Arabidopsis thaliana: one gene and its partners. The protein of the gene in region 3 interacts with the protein of the main gene of each other region in a pairwise test. Each region holds a gene or a part of one and is shown on either strand. Other genes may lie near its edges.

The links. The genes of interacting proteins can lie anywhere in the genome.
Region 1: the proteins of YAB3 (region 3) and IDD14 interact in a two-hybrid assay, tested with the Arabidopsis thaliana proteins (one large-scale study listed by BioGRID).
Region 2: the proteins of YAB3 (region 3) and SGR5 interact in a two-hybrid assay, tested with the Arabidopsis thaliana proteins (one large-scale study listed by BioGRID).

What each region holds. Positions count from the first base shown.
Region 1 is NC_003070.9:25,530,036-25,535,201, reverse strand, and holds IDD14 (indeterminate(ID)-domain 14), read right to left. Parts: upstream 3,195-5,166; 5' UTR 2,719-3,194; coding exon 2,568-2,718; exon of another isoform or gene 2,467-2,567; coding exon 2,064-2,466; intron 1,591-2,063; coding exon 885-1,590; 3' UTR 524-884; downstream 1-523. UniProt on the Arabidopsis thaliana protein: Transcription factor regulating starch metabolism by binding directly to the promoter of QQS. The IDD14beta isoform attenuates the transcription factor activity by competitively forming heterodimers with reduced DNA-binding capacity.
Region 2 is NC_003071.7:430,293-435,600, forward strand, and holds SGR5 (C2H2-like zinc finger protein), read left to right. Parts: upstream 1-1,982; 5' UTR 1,983-2,359; coding exon 2,360-2,519; intron 2,520-2,554; exon of another isoform or gene 2,555-2,719; intron 2,720-2,832; coding exon 2,833-3,219; coding exon of another isoform or gene 3,220-3,235; intron 3,236-3,831; coding exon 3,832-4,625; 3' UTR 4,626-4,785; downstream 4,786-5,308. UniProt on the Arabidopsis thaliana protein: Transcription factor involved in inflorescence stems gravitropism, probably by regulating starch accumulation in amyloplasts of graviperceptive cells. Required for stem circumnutation movements. Regulates lateral organ morphogenesis and gravitropic responses.
Region 3 is NC_003075.7:71,992-77,454, forward strand, and holds YAB3 (Plant-specific transcription factor YABBY family protein), read right to left. Parts: upstream 3,586-5,463; 5' UTR 3,099-3,585; coding exon 2,985-3,098; exon of another isoform or gene 2,898-2,984; coding exon of another isoform or gene 2,877-2,897; coding exon 2,706-2,876; intron 2,437-2,705; coding exon 2,277-2,436; intron 1,717-2,276; coding exon 1,668-1,716; intron 1,533-1,667; coding exon 1,457-1,532; intron 1,077-1,456; coding exon 999-1,076; intron 888-998; coding exon 813-887; 3' UTR 554-812; downstream 1-553. Other genes in the region: AT4G00170 (Plant VAMP (vesicle-associated membrane protein) family protein), read right to left, coding at 43-94. UniProt on the Arabidopsis thaliana protein: Involved in the abaxial cell fate determination during embryogenesis and organogenesis. Regulates the initiation of embryonic shoot apical meristem (SAM) development.

The DNA.
Region 1 (5,166 bases), on a different chromosome or scaffold from region 3:
AACCTAAAGTTTAATCGAGAAAACCAAATCAGTTTGTTGTTGCATTAGCTCTTTCTTGTTTTTTTTTTTAAATATCTTTTTTTTGGTGGTATATTCTACAAACTCTCTCATACTTTATTAATGAATTCAAATTCATTAAAAAAAATATTATTATTATGTGTTTGAAAAACACATCAAACTATAAGGGTCAAAAGATATCTCATGAGATTTTGTCTTCACGTAAAAATATATGATTTCTTGTTTGGTCACATTGAGACCAAAAACCCACAAAATCCAAATAAAATCTACAATTAATCGAATTAGATTTTAATATTTTACCATTCAATTAGACGATTTCAAACTACAGTCTACACGGACGTGGGATATGGAGCGAATTGTTTCTAGTTTCTACCTGAGAATTTGACTCACGATTTGACCTAATTATTATCCCTTGCATTTAATGCAAATAATTGACTGAAAAGAAAAGAAAAATGCAGATATTCGTGTGAACAATAGGAATTGGTAATACTTTTAAGTCACAATAGTTCAACTATAAAATCCAAAACACTCAAAGTCTCAAACCAAACTGAAAATTAAGATCAGTTATCTCTATGGAAAAACAACATTTCTGTAGCTAACTAATTAACGAATGCTTGAGAATTATAACCCGTTCATTACATTACGTTAACCAACAGACCCAAGACAATTCATACAACAAAAACTATTCTCTTCTTTGGTTTTTGTTTGAGAGAAAAAAAATCAAACCCCCAGTGAATACCCAAACCTGGTAACCCACAAACCAAGAATATGTAAGAAAACCAACGAATATCAAAAGATGATCTTTAATTCCAATCAAAGAAAAAAAAGAAGAATATTTGTTTTCTTTTGTGTTCTCTCTTCAAGGTCTATGAAGATGCTCTATCACTCGCCTTTTCTCCTTCGGTAGTCGCCGAAGACATGTAGCTCACGGCCAGAGACGTGCTCTCATCGGTACAATGCGTCTGAGGAGGAGGAGGAACCAAAGCAGCCGGAGCTTGAAAATGTTGCTTGCAATTGTGGCAAGTTATTTGCATCATCGTTGCACTAATCCTCCTACTTGCTTCTTCTCTAAAAAGATGAGCTTTGTGAAGCTCAGCTCTCGCATGTTGCCTTATTCTCTTGGCTTCAGCAAACTCCAATTCCGCGATTTCGATCTGCCTCTTTGTTTCTCTTCTCGCCTCCTCTCTTTCTAGGCTCGTTTCTCCCTTCTCGTAGCTCTTCTTCTCAACTTCCGACATTGTCTTTTGATCCATTGTCCCTATAGACAGACTAAGGCTGGTCTCATCAGCACAATTCCTCGATGGAAGTAGCTGAAGCTCGATACTACCATTAGTAACGAAGGGATAGAGCAAAGTGGATGGTTGTTGTTCCGACGGTGGGGATTGTCTTCTTTGTAAAGGATGTCCAGGCAATATAGGACCAATGGAGAGGTCCCCGTTCTCGTTGTTTTCCGCGGTTGAAGCGGTTTGTGTAGCGTTTGTGGTATGTTGTTGCTGCTCATGTAAACGGTGGTTGGAGGGTTGGGATCGGCGTACGGTGCAAGTGTCTTGGTGCTCTATGAAACTTTCCACTCTGAGAAATAAGAGTGTATTATATAAGTTAAACTAAAATGGAAAGCACAAAGGAATATTTGTATCTCGTGACAGATAATATAAATAATTAAGTTAGTGGAGTTAGGTATCTTTTGGATTATATATTTGAGTATGAGATATGCAAGACTTCGAGGTTTAGTATGGTATATACTTAACAAAGTTTGATAATGAAATCTATTATGGGGTCAACGTGAGTAATCAAAACATAGTTCCTAATTATTAAATTAATTAAAAGTATTTTCAGACAACAGTACATCCAAACAAACCTCATCAGGTTCCATTAGTAAACGTTGTTTCAAGATCTATGTGCGTTATCTAAAAATCAAAACATGGACACGCCATACTAGAAAAAACATTCTTTGATTTACTTTAAGGATTCCGATAAATATATATCCTAAATATATAATAAAAATAAAAATTAAAAAGCTAGGGTTTGTTACTAAGGAATGGAACCTGGAAAAAACTCGGCCGCAGTCACAGGAGTGGCCGCGAGTGCCACAGGTTTTGAGATGAGCTTTGTAATCAGATTGAACTGCGTAGCCTTTTGAGCATCGCTCGCAGATCCATTGCTTGTGGTTACTATGTTTCCGTCGGAAGTGTTTCTTGATTCCCACGAGATCTCCGAGCGCGTGGCAAGGGTTGTGGTGGAGACATGTCGGCTCCGGACAGACGTAGACTCTTTTCCTCACTTCCTCGTTGGTCTCTCTTTTAAGAAGCTTCCATGGAACTTTATGTCGTCTTCTATGCATCTGTAGATTCTGGTCCCTTTGAAACCCTTGGTTACAGATCTCACATACGTACCGATCCGATTCTAGTAACGTTCTTGGTGATAAAGATACCACCTCCGCCTCCGGATCTGCCACCGGATAAATCAAAATCTTTAACAGAACTATTTGATAACTTTCCGGATATAGAATCTAACAACTAGTAATTCTTGATAAGAAAATTGTTAAATACCCGGTGTCCCGGCGGGTCTCCGTTTCCGCTTCTGAGTCACGGCGGTTCCATTACCGTCGGGAAGAAGATCAGAGGAAGATGAAGATGGAGGAGGGTTGTGATGATGGGTGTTGATGTTCTTGGTGGTATTGCTTCTCTCGTAGTCTATCATCGGATGAGGTTTTTAATCTCTTCTCTTTTTGTATTTTATCTCAAGACAGTGTGGTTTATAGTGAGAGAGGTACTGTGACTAAATGAAAAATAAGAACAAAATTGAGGAATCTTTTGTTTTTCATGTAGAGAAAGAAGGAGAGATTGTTTTTTATGTTTCCTTATTTATTTGGTAGAGAGAGTACTCATCTTTACTAATAGAAGAAGAAAGTATAAGATGAGTTAAGAGAGAGAAACAAAGGGCTTTGTTTTTCTGAAATCATCTTTATTTTTTTTCTCACATAAAGGGATAATAGCTTTTCTGTTCCCTTTTACTATCCAACTTTTTATAATTTTCTTGGAAAAGAAAAAAATAAATGAAACTTTCAACTTTTTGTTAATTGTTTCATTGACCTCTCACCTTAGATGGAGAAATGCATTGTATGGTCTTTGGTGCTTCAATCTTCTTCAGAGTAGTTATGAACCTCTCTCTTCTCTATCTGTACACTGTTTGTTTACAAACACAAAACATATCTATGGAGAGAGATGTTTATACATATAAAGAGAGTGGGACAAGGAGCTTGGAGCCCACATTAGCATCAGGACAAGAAACAAAAAAACATCCCCTTCCACTACACAACAATTACAAGTCATTATTATTTCATATCATAAAATATTCGATCAGAGTGAGTAAGTTTTGTTTTTCAAAGATAAATAAAAAAAAGGATAGGTGAAAAATATAAACGGAATCTTGGAAATTTGATGTTTAACAGTACATGTTTTTTAATGGTGACAAATGTATATATGTGTAGCCTTTAGCTATAGGGCTGGTGTAAATTAAAAAGGGAAGGGACTTGAGAATATTTGTTTTGAATATAAGACACATGCATATACCCAATTTATGTTTCCGTATATATACAAATATACAATGTGGTGCCATCATCTCATGCCTTTTTATATAAGAAATAGGTTTTAATCAAATATGAATACTGTGCCCACAAGTGAGACGAATCAGAAAATTTCCAATATATAGTTTTTCTTACAAGAAAAACAAAAAACAAACACAAAACCCTAGAGTCAGATCTGGTTTTTGAGTGTCAGCTGAGACCAATTCTATATAACATCTCAAACAAAAGAAAAATTAGAGATCTGGAATATGTTCGAAAGAATTTTCTTTATTAAAAAACATGTCTATAAAAGTGTGTGTGTGTGTGTGTGTTGTGCGTATAACATATACTTAAAGTCCACCACCATCTCATTAAAGGGCATTTGTCTATCCAAGTGGAACTGTAAGAAAATTGAAGTAAATACAAATTTTTTTAAAAGTTTTATTTTTCATTAAAAAATAAAAAGAGAAACAAAAAGAAGATGATACTTTATTAATAGGAAGAGAAAGGAGATGGTTGAGTTGGAAAGAATGGGTGGGAGGATGGGGGAGATGGATTCTCATCACATGCAATGCTTTTTTTTCTTTTTTTGTAAAGTTGGATATATCAAAACTTTCACAATCGCATTCTTACTTAAGAAATTAGGATAATAGTCACCTCTTTCCTTTATTTAAGGAATATATGCAGTAAAGAACCCTCTATTTGGCAAAAATAATGGATAAAAATCATACTTAAATTCGATTATTTATTTTGTGTTTTCTTTAGAAAATAAAAGGATTTTATGGGTATATTTGAAAATAACACACTAATTAATTTATTTGACACTACGTTATATATATATATATATATATAGTTTTGTTATCCTATTCTTTTGTAAATTAAACTCCACTATGATCATGTAGCAACTTCACCCTCGTCCAAATTACTCGTTTAACTAGTTTATTTAATTGCGTGAACTCAATTCACTACCTTAATTAGTTTTTTTTAGTTGTTGACTTGTATTACCTTGAATTTACCCCGGTCTTTAGACTTAGCATTATCTATAACTCTTTTTTTTGTTAATACTACTCATTAAATTAGAAAAAATGGAGTAGTATTTATGTATTTATATGAAACAAATAATAGCACCCGAAAACCATTTAGTGGAGCTGTACACTGAAACCTGAGGCATTTGTCTCGTTCGCTCTTGTTGCTATCTGAAAGTTGCAACTTCAAAAGTAAAATTGACATTTTTTAGATTTCACTGAAACCCAAAACGGAGAGTATTGACTTTAATGTAGCCTTTTACAGAAATTACTTACATACATGAAAAAGTAGTATGTGCCAATGTTACGCGTAGCCTATAGGAACCAAAGTAAAATACAAAATTCCAAATAAAAGAAACTAAACTGGCGAACGAAAGAAAAGTTTTGGAAATTAATCCCTGTAAAAGAAAAACAAGAACACTAGAATTATAAAGCATTGCAGGTGATGTTGTCTTCTACAAACAATTTTCTTTAATAAAGTAGATATATATACACTCGTCCAAAACAACACTTCAATTCGTTTTGTTGATATATATACACAATTCAATATCAAGAACA
Region 2 (5,308 bases), on a different chromosome or scaffold from region 3:
TGTATAACTTTTAACCTTGGATCAACCACTAGGCCATTGTCGATTTATTTTTGACTATTAAAAATCAGACTATTGTATTTCATTTAACATGTTTTTGTTTCTTTTTGAATTTTTGCATTCATTTAAGATGTTGTGGTCTCTCAAGTCCATATATAACGATTAGAAACTACAAATTTATAATTTTGTAGCTCCGAAATAAATATCATGCATTATGTATCAGCTAGAAAAGATCTAATCAGTGGTAATAATCGATAAGCAAAGGGTTAAGTAAGAGATGGGAGAGTAATCTCATCTTAGGAAATGATTACAAACACGATCTCATTTCTTTCCTTTATACAAAGCTGTCACCGTAGTAACTCGATCACATCTTCTCGTCTAATTTGTTCTGTTTTTCCTTTCGGTCCATTTAGAACCAATTTTTGACAACTGACAAAAAACATTATGAGGTATCTTTTGTTTCTTTTATCTGCAAATTAATTTATTATTCGGCAATAACAAAAATAAAAACAACTAGTAGCGAATAGCGATCAAGCTAAGGAAGGAATACATATGGCATTTACAATTGAAACAGAGAAAATGTGTTAAAGTAACAAAACTTATGATTGAGAAAATTTAAACCATAATTGAAACAGAGAAAATGTGTTAAAGTAACAAAACTTATGATTGAGAAAATTTAAACCATAATAATGATTAATTTTGGTAGTCTACATATGAGTTCCATCAAAAAAAAAAAAATGTTTTCATATAAGATTCATTTCATTCTTGATCCAGTAACATTCTTAGATCTGTTAATGAACCTTCTTAAGGAATGACTGAGAAGAAAGGCAATAGCCTAAAAGGAATCGACAGTGGAGAGTGGAGGGAAAAAGAGGTCACGTGAGTAAGACATAAGGTCACGTGCGCGAGGGATCGAATATGAATTTTACTAAAATAGGGTTTTATAAAAACATACTAATACTACTTTCACATTTACTCTTGGTTTGAATTATTTTTATACGCATGTATAATTTGATATATTTGTCTTTTTTCTTCCCCTAACTATGTATGGGCACTAGTACATCCATTATATAAGCCAAATAGAAAGAAAAAATAATAGTTTGTCTGCATTATTGTAAACTTACAGAATTTGGTATTTAATGCAATAATGCATTTTTATCCTTGGATTATTCACAAGAACCATATACCTTTTTTTTTCTCTCCTTGTTTCCAAGTGTAATTCGAAAAGAATCTTAACATGTATGTGGACCAACGTTGGAAACATGATGACATAACATTCATATATAGTTAACAATGACAATTTTTCTTAAATTGTCTATATATTATTGGATTGCTTTAACAATAATGAAACGCAAGATGTATTAGTGATGTATAATCACACTATTTATAGGACTTGAGAGTGACAGTCAAAAAGTTAATTAGAAGTAATGAAGTATCTTAACCTTATTATTTAATTGCTTCTTACATCATCTAAGAGTTAGCACCGTATCGATATTCATAAATTCTCTCCTAATTTGCAGATACAATACAACTATTGCTATTTTAAGCCTCTAACCTGCATAATATTTTGATGAAAGGCAAGCCTTACATGTGGACGTATGATCTCATATATTTTTTTTTTTCATTTGTTAGAAGAAACTCATGTAGATAATCTCAAACATAAAATAAAATGTTTCAAAAAAAAAAAAAAAAATAGTTTGTGAAGGTTCAAGAAAATCAGACAAATTCATCAATCAGACAAGATATGGGTCCAAGCCAAAAAATTCATATATCCAACATGCTCAAAGAAACAAAGTCTAAAAAATAAATACAAAATAACAAAAAGAAAAATCTAAAATCTACATCTAAATCTAAATAAATACACCACCTTCTCTCTCTCTCTCTCTAGCTACACGAGTGTATGTATACATTTTACGCAATGATGGCATAGTGCAATGAGCTTTATAAGTAGAAGCAATATAGACATCAAAGACCCCTTATTTGCTCTCAACTCTCAAGTGTATGAGAGAGAAATAGGTTTTTGAAGAAGAGTCAAAATATATACCCAAAGAGAGAGCTAGAGAGAGAGAGACTCAAGAAAATTAAAAAGCTTTCATCATATTAACATAAGAGAAACTTTGAAGAGCCTAAGAAAAAGTTTTGAAAAGCCTTTGTTGCAGAAAGCTTAAAAGAACTTTTTCTCTCCCCCTATATCTCTCTTTATCACCCTTCCTCTTCTTTGTAAAGCTGAATCTCCCACTATCTCTTCTTCTTTCATTTTTTTTTTTTTTTGGTCTTTGGGCCTTGTTCTTTCATCAAATCAATCTCTAGAATCCAAATACAATAAAGTCAAAAAGAAAGATCAAGAAAAGTAGAGTAATTGATGAGAACAGATCAAGTGATGTTGTCCAACAAGAACACAAACACATGTTGTGTGGTTTCTTCTTCTTCTTCTGATCCTTTCCTCTCCTCTTCAGAAAATGGGGTCACCACCACAAACACATCCACTCAGAAGAGGAAAAGAAGACCTGCAGGTACCCCAGGTAATAATAAATCCCCACTACAGAAAATTTATTTTTCAAAATCTTTTTTTCTTGTTTTTATTTTCTTATGAAAATTTTCAACTCATGGGTACTATTGTTTTTTGTTTTTTTTTTCTCTTAAACCCCATTAGAAATACAGGTTTATTATAGGTTTAGTTTTAAAATTTCTCTTTTTCTTATTGCCAGTTTCAAAGTTATAGGTACAATTAATGGGTTTTCATTGTTTTTAATTCTTAAACCTCATTTAAAATCTCAACTTTATTAATCAACTAAGACATGTGTTTTGATGGGTTTTGCCTTATCTCCTTTTCAGATCCAGATGCAGAAGTTGTGTCTTTATCACCAAGAACTCTTCTTGAATCAGACAGATACATATGTGAGATCTGTAACCAAGGGTTTCAAAGAGACCAGAATCTCCAGATGCATAGAAGACGTCACAAAGTTCCATGGAAGCTTCTTAAAAGAGACAACAACATAGAGGTGAAGAAACGAGTCTATGTTTGCCCTGAACCCACTTGCCTTCACCATAATCCTTGTCATGCTCTGGGAGATCTTGTCGGCATCAAAAAACATTTCAGAAGAAAACATAGTAACCATAAGCAATGGGTTTGTGAGAGATGCTCTAAAGGTTATGCTGTTCAATCTGATTACAAAGCTCATCTCAAAACTTGTGGTACTAGAGGACATTCTTGTGACTGTGGTCGTGTCTTCTCCAGGTATAATTTCTTGTTCCTCTCTATCATTTGATTTTTTTTTGACCCATTTTATAAATTAATTATTGGTATTATTAATTCTGAAAAGATATGCAAACTTTTGGAAGGATTTGTTAAGTATTTCTAAAATATACAAGTAATTTGACTCTGTTTGTTTTGTATATTTAGGAGATCATATAGAAAGACAAATATAGAAAATTCTTCTAGGGACCAAAGACTAAGATTGATAGTTATAGTACTATTTGATTTGACTATCCTTCATGATTTTTACTAATTCTGTGTATTGATGTGTATGCATCAGAGTTTTTTAATATATCTCTTGACTATTTGTTTGGTTTTTGTGACATAAAAAGAAAGTTAAGCACTTAGATTAATGACATTGACCCCAATCTCTAAAGAAATATTTTATGTATTTAGGTTATTATTGGACCTTTTTTCGACACAAAGGTTATAATTGGACCTAAACTCATATTAATAATATATATTTTTGAGTTCAAAGGTATTTAATAAACGACGTTTAAACAGAAAAACTTAATATAAAATTATTAACTTTGTCACATTTTCATAATCCTACGTCATATAAATTATGTAATTGATAGGTTTCTTTTCTTCTTTTAGGGTGGAGAGTTTTATTGAACATCAAGATAATTGTTCCGCACGGAGAGTTCACCGTGAACCGCCTCGACCACCACAAACCGCGGTAACAGTCCCGGCATGCTCTTCTAGAACCGCCTCAACCGTCAGCACTCCGTCTAGTGAAACCAATTACGGCGGTACAGTTGCGGTTACGACTCCTCAACCTCTAGAAGGCCGTCCAATTCATCAGAGAATCTCATCTTCAATTCTCACCAACTCATCAAACAATCTCAACCTCGAACTCCAACTTCTTCCATTATCGTCGAATCAAAACCCTAATCAAGAAAACCAACAACAAAAAGTTAAAGAACCATCTCATCATCATAATCATAATCATGATACCACAAACTTAAACCTCTCCATTGCACCATCATCATCATATCAACATTACAACAACTTTGATCGTATAAAAGAGATTATGGCGAGCGAGCAAATTATGAAGATAGCGATGAAGGAGAAAGCTTACGCTGAGGAAGCTAAAAGAGAAGCCAAGAGGCAACGAGAGATAGCGGAAAACGAGTTTGCAAATGCCAAAAAGATTAGGCAAAAAGCACAAGCTGAACTCGAGAGAGCTAAGTTTTTAAAGGAACAATCTATGAAGAAGATAAGTTCAACGATCATGCAGGTCACTTGTCAAACATGTAAAGGACAGTTTCAAGCAGTTGCGGTTCCGGCGGCTACGGCTGATGAGACGTCTCTTGTCGTGAGTTACATGTCGTCAGCGAATACTGACGGAGAGTTGGAAAATGGTTTTTAAGTAAAACCGAAGAAAACATAAGATATTTAAATTGAGGTTAACTTTATTATACTTTTGTGTATTAATTACCGGTTGTGTTAATTTTTTCAACTACCATATATTATGTAATGGTTGTTATATAGTTGTTTCTTTGGTCCAACAATATTAGACTATGTTTTGTAACTATGTTACTGTCATTTCCGCCACATTACACTTTAAATTGTTGAAAAATGATTTTATCCTAGGTTTCATATAGAACCTTAAAATTAAATTTTATCAACAAAAAAAAAACCTTGAAATTAACTATTTAAATTTTTATATAGATATTTTTTCGTCTTGAACGTCTACAGTAGTTTAGAAGGAGTTAAGAGTGGAGATCCGTACATGCGTGTTTTGATCTTTGGCCTTAGATTCGCTTAGAACTTTCAATGGATATACAATTTTTTTAATAAAACATGTGATATGCGGATTTGAATTCGGTTAAATATACATTTGCTTATCCTTGATTTGTCTACATTATTTTTGGTAAGCTTGAGGTGATATATTTGAAAACAAATCTCACGTTTTAAGGATCAAAACAGTCCCTGCATGATAGAGATTATCGACATCTAATGTATACCAGTATATTTAGTAAGTTTGAAAGAGGGTAAGTAGTTGCTTGGCACGAGTTGATATATGGAGTGATGGGAAATGTACTATTATGA
Region 3 (5,463 bases):
GAATCCGAGAGGGATCAAATCAATCGGAAAAAAAAAACTTACAGGGGAATTTAAGCTCAGTAGGATGGATATTAACGAGATCTCCGGTCGTCATGCTTCTTTGTAGATCCTTCGAGATTGAAATTTGATTTCTCTGTTTTTTTTTTAGGGTTTACGACTGTGAGAAGAAGAATGAGAATCGAACAAATTTTGATTTTGGTCAGAGAAGAAGAAAAGTGAATAAATATTTTTTTGAGCCAAGACTGGTAAATTTTGTAGTTTTAAATATTAAATGCCACGTAACTAGATTTGACGATCACCGATTGACCGTGATTTTTTTAATGCGTTAGCGGTTAGCCCAACAAAATCAAGGCTATTGTTCCCTGACTGAAATAAGCCCAACAAAAAGGATCCATTATACTATTGTGGGCCTTCTAAAGCCCAGTGAATTTTTATTGATAATAGGCATTTTTTTTTGTTGAATTCTTTTGAGCTGAATACATATTGATGATTCTTCCCAATATGTTATATACAAATCAAATTCGAATATGGAATTGTAAAGAGAAAAAGACAGTATCATTAACGTATGGTAAAGCCTAGCTAGCTTAGCTACTGCATGCTTTTGATATTAAATATATAACACGGCAACTGAGAAAACAATATATTTTCAATTCCAAGAGAAAATTCTAGTAGTTCCGAAAATTTCTTTAAGAAAAAAAAAAAAGGTCTCCTGATCGATTATCAAATATCATAAAATAGTAATAAGAAAGTTAAGTTTGAGCTGAAAGTAACCACATTTTGAAGATTACAAAAGATTGGGAAAGTCTTCGTAGCTAGTTATGGGCCACCCCAACGTTGGCAGCTGAACCGTAAAACCCTTCTCTTCCCATCATCCCATCCTCTCCTTCCTTCATTACACCAAAATAAAATATCTCGATTATGTTTTGATGATCAATGCATGCATGCTCCTGATTATATACATTTGAATAAATAAATATAGTGTAGTAGTAGTAAGTAACCTGTTGGCGCACGTTAGCCTTCTTCGTGGGAGGATGGTCAGCCATGAGTCCAAAGTGTATGTGAGGGAAATGAGCCCACTGTTTCATACATATTACATCATATACTTAGCTCTTTTAACATTAATGTGTATTTATCTTATACATAACATAAAAACTTGGTCAAAAATATACGAATACAAAGCCAGACTAAAATATCTGCTAGGGAACTTTACTGAAACCCTAGATCGTAGATCCTAAGGCTAGTCCTAGCTAATGTATGCTGGATAAAGCTTATGAATTATGGATTATTACGGTAACTATTTTGTTTTATGTTTTTAATTTAAAGCAATGTGAGTATCAATGTAGCTCCACAATAATCTAGCTAGGTTCAATTCATAAAGACTAAAATGAGATTGTATGATTATGGATATAATGCAATATAGAAAATTAGTTTTATATATTAAAAAAAGAAATGGTACGTTTTTGGCAGCAGCACTGAAGGCTTCTCTGTGGCTGATATCAGGGTTGCCTGCCTTTATACGTTGGATCTCCTCTCTGTCAACATTTTTATTTTTATATCATATAATGAAATCAAATCTGTCACATCTATCGACCCTTAATTATATGAGTAAAATGGTTAATTAGGGAAATTTAATTATGCCATTTTAAGCAAAGGAATAAACTTATTACTTGATGAATCGGTTGTATGCAGATGGTACTCTTTGTCGCTTCTCTGGGGCTGCTTTTCCACAAACAAACAAACAGAACATATTCAATTTTAATTCCAAATCAAACCCTTTTGTTAAAAAAAACATTATTGGTTTTTATTGTGCCTCCCCAAAAAATCTAAAAATTCACCAAAAAAAAACAATTAAAAAAAAAAAAACAATCACTCTTCGACTCTTCCTCCTTTCTCTCTCTCCCTCTCCCTCTCACTTTGCTCGTTATCATCATCACTTCATCATTATCTTTCTTACGATCTACCCCCAAAACTATATCAGTTGGCATCTATAGGTTTAGCTAGATTTCCGGGGGATAAACACATCACTTATTAATTTTCCTTTTGTTGTCGAAATTGTTTTCTGACCAAAAAAAAAGTGCATGCGAGAAGTCACATACCGAGGGAACAAAAATGAAATCAAAACTTATAAATTCATTATAAACAAACGAGATTCTTTGGAGTGTATATATAAAAGGTTGAAGAAATGAATGGATAAGGTTTTGTGAATTAGGGTTTTTGTTTTCTTATATATATATATATGAAGATGTTGAAATAAAGAGTAGAAGATGGAAGGTTACGTCTATTGGCTGGTGGTGGCCGAGGCATCTCTTGTAGATGATCCACTGATCTTCCGTTGCGAGTCGCCATAACCAAATGCTCGTTCGGGTGGTGAGCTGAAGCGTGATGGCTCATCATCATGTTCATGTTTATATTCTGCCCTCCGCTTCGCATTTCCTCCTAATAAATGAAATCAGCAAACTAATTGGCAAAAAAAACTTAAAACACTAATCAAACCAAACTACTTTGATATGATGTTTTCGAAAGAAACCCTAGTTAACTAGCCATTGCCAAACTACTTAGATCTATCCCGGGATGCTAACAAAATTAAACATTTTTGGATTGAGTTTCACAATTTTGCGTTTCTCGAGAAGAAAAGCCCTAATTATTACTCTCTGTTTTTTTTATGAAAGAACCCTAATTTGTTTCGATGAATGAAACCGATGTACCAAAAGATTTGGAGGAGGAGGAGGAGGAGGGGGAGGTAAAAAGGAATGGCCAAGGTTGGAAACGGATGGAAGAAGAAGAGCTCTCATGCTCACGGTCACCGACAAAAGGTTCGAACAGTGGCCGCATCTGACCGTCACCGTCTTGAACAAACTACTCGGAGGAACACTCACCTGCCAATTAATATCACACATTAATTAACTAGTAATTCATGTGAAACCCTAGCTAGAGTTATAAATTTGAAATATTGAGATGAGATATAAGAATAATCCAAAATTTACAGCAAGGACAGTGTCGCAGAAGCTGCAATGGACGTAACAGAGCTGGTCCGTAGATGAGAAGTGGTCCGGTGGAAAAGCTGGAGCTGAGGAGGACGACATGGACATGCTCGACATGGAGTCTTTTTCTTGATTTAAAACAAAAAAGGAGTAAGAGAGAGAGGAGGGCTTTGATTTGATTGAAAAGATATGACTGATCGATGTTCAGATAGAAGTAGATTCTCCTTCCACCACACCCTTTTGACAATTGTGTTTAGTGTTGGGTGATGAGCAGTACTTTATAAATGTCTTGTACTTCTCCAGAAGTTGAAGTCCAGAGAGAGAAGGAAGAGAAAGAACGGTGGAGAGGAAGATGTGGTTTAGAGAGAGAGAGAGAGAGAGATATCTATTTATGTAAATATGAAGAGACACTGTACCTAAACAAATTGGCGACATGTGATGAAGAGGCCATTGTAGAGATAAGCTGCATACCTGCATTCTCATTTACTACCTTTTGAACCGGTTTATCTTCTTTATTATTCCTATCCATCCTTTTTCTTTCTTCTATATATCAAACCGGAACTAGTCTTTGTTTCTATATAATCAGATAAAAACTCTACTTTGGGACTAATTATCATTATCAAGTACCATTGAATTAGTAGCCGATCGGTGAGGAATAATAGATATAAAGATTTCAAAGTTTTATAACGACAAGATTTGTGCAGCATCAAACATGTACATACGACAAACATGCTAACTTTTTTTTTTTTTTACCAACTATTTAAACCGCTTATATATTTGCGGAAAAAACAAAACTTCAATTTGGCTAATAAGTGTCGTACGTGACACATGTATAGAAGATTAACCATATCTATAGGGTTTAATTAGGAGTTTATTTGAATGTCGAACATCCAAAAATTAAGATAATATTAATTCACATGTTAAAGTTGGAATTGTTAAGGTTTTCTATTTTGGTTATGCATTTTGTTACATGGTTTGTGACCTTGTGTCGTCGCAATGATGATAATGCAACAGTGGAAAAAAATTTGATGATAATTGATAATGCAATAACAGAAAATATATTGGAATTGTTAAGGTTTTCTATTTTGGTTAAGCATTTTGTTACATGGTTTGTGACTTTGTGTCGTCGCACTAATGATAATACAATAACAAAAAAAATATCAACTAAAAGCATGAAAATAAAGAGGGAACAATATGAAAATATACTTATGCATGAGATAAAGAGAGAACAATATGAAAATAAGGTTGGTGTTGTTTTCATAGACCTAAAAGCAGCAGAACTTGAACTTGAATGTGTGTTGTGGTGGATCTCCAGAAAGTCCTTGGCATATTACACCCATATTTAGAGTTAAAAGTGGTCATATAGCTAGATATTTTGTTTCTATATGCACATATACACTCGCAGTGAATCCAACTCTTCAGCGTATTGAGGTCATTGTACAAGTCTTCTCCGCAAAATAAGAAGAAGAAGATAATGTAAAATAAACGAAGTTAAATCTAATCTGGTTACGGTTTGAATTCAATTGGATGAAAAATGTTTTGTTTTTTCTTTTCTTTAAAGGACGCAAAGTTCGATGAAGTGGGAGAGAGAGGAAGAGGAAAGGGACTTGTGCATGGAAGTGATTAAGCAAAGGCTCATTCATCAGTTGTTTTCACACTTAATAACATTTCTGCCACACCACACTTTCCCTCGATCCTCGTCAATTCCATGCCCTTTTCTATTTATTAGTATTTGTATATACTTTCTCTACATTCCAATGTATATCATTTTGTCATCATTATTTTTACCCGCAAGTGTGTGGTTTCGCTAAATTCCATAATACAGGACCACCATTTTGTGGTAACTTCCCAATTGTTCGTGATAATTACTAGGTCATAGTGAAATTTAAATTTATTTATATCTGAAATTAGTTTAAGTTTTTGTAAATATTATGGCTATCCGGTTTCACAATATATAGTGTAGACATAGAATATGATTTTTGTAAGTCAAAATCCTATCACAATAGAACTTCAAGCAAATATAGTATAGTTGTTTGCAACTTTAGTATTTGTATTGAGTTTATTAGAGTGTGGGCTTCCAACATAAAACCAATTGGCAATAGATGGAAAGGCTCATATCTTATATATATCACTTAAGATCCTACTCAACTTTCGATGTGGGACATTGTCCCTAATACGCCCCCTCGAGATGATGGTTCTTCTAGCCATTGATCTCGATATGTTTGGGCATGGATCGGCGGGCCAAGTATTGGGCCGGACCGATGTGGATCGGGTTGAGTATGTGCGGATCAGGCTCTGATACCATATTAGAGTGTGGGTTTCCAACCTAAAACCAATTGGCAATAGGTGAAGAGGCCCATATCTTATATATACCACTTAAGATCTTATTCAACTTCCGATGTGGGATATTATCCCTAATACGCCCCCTCGAGATGATGGTTCTTCTAGCCATTGATCTCGATATGTTTGGGCATGGATCGGC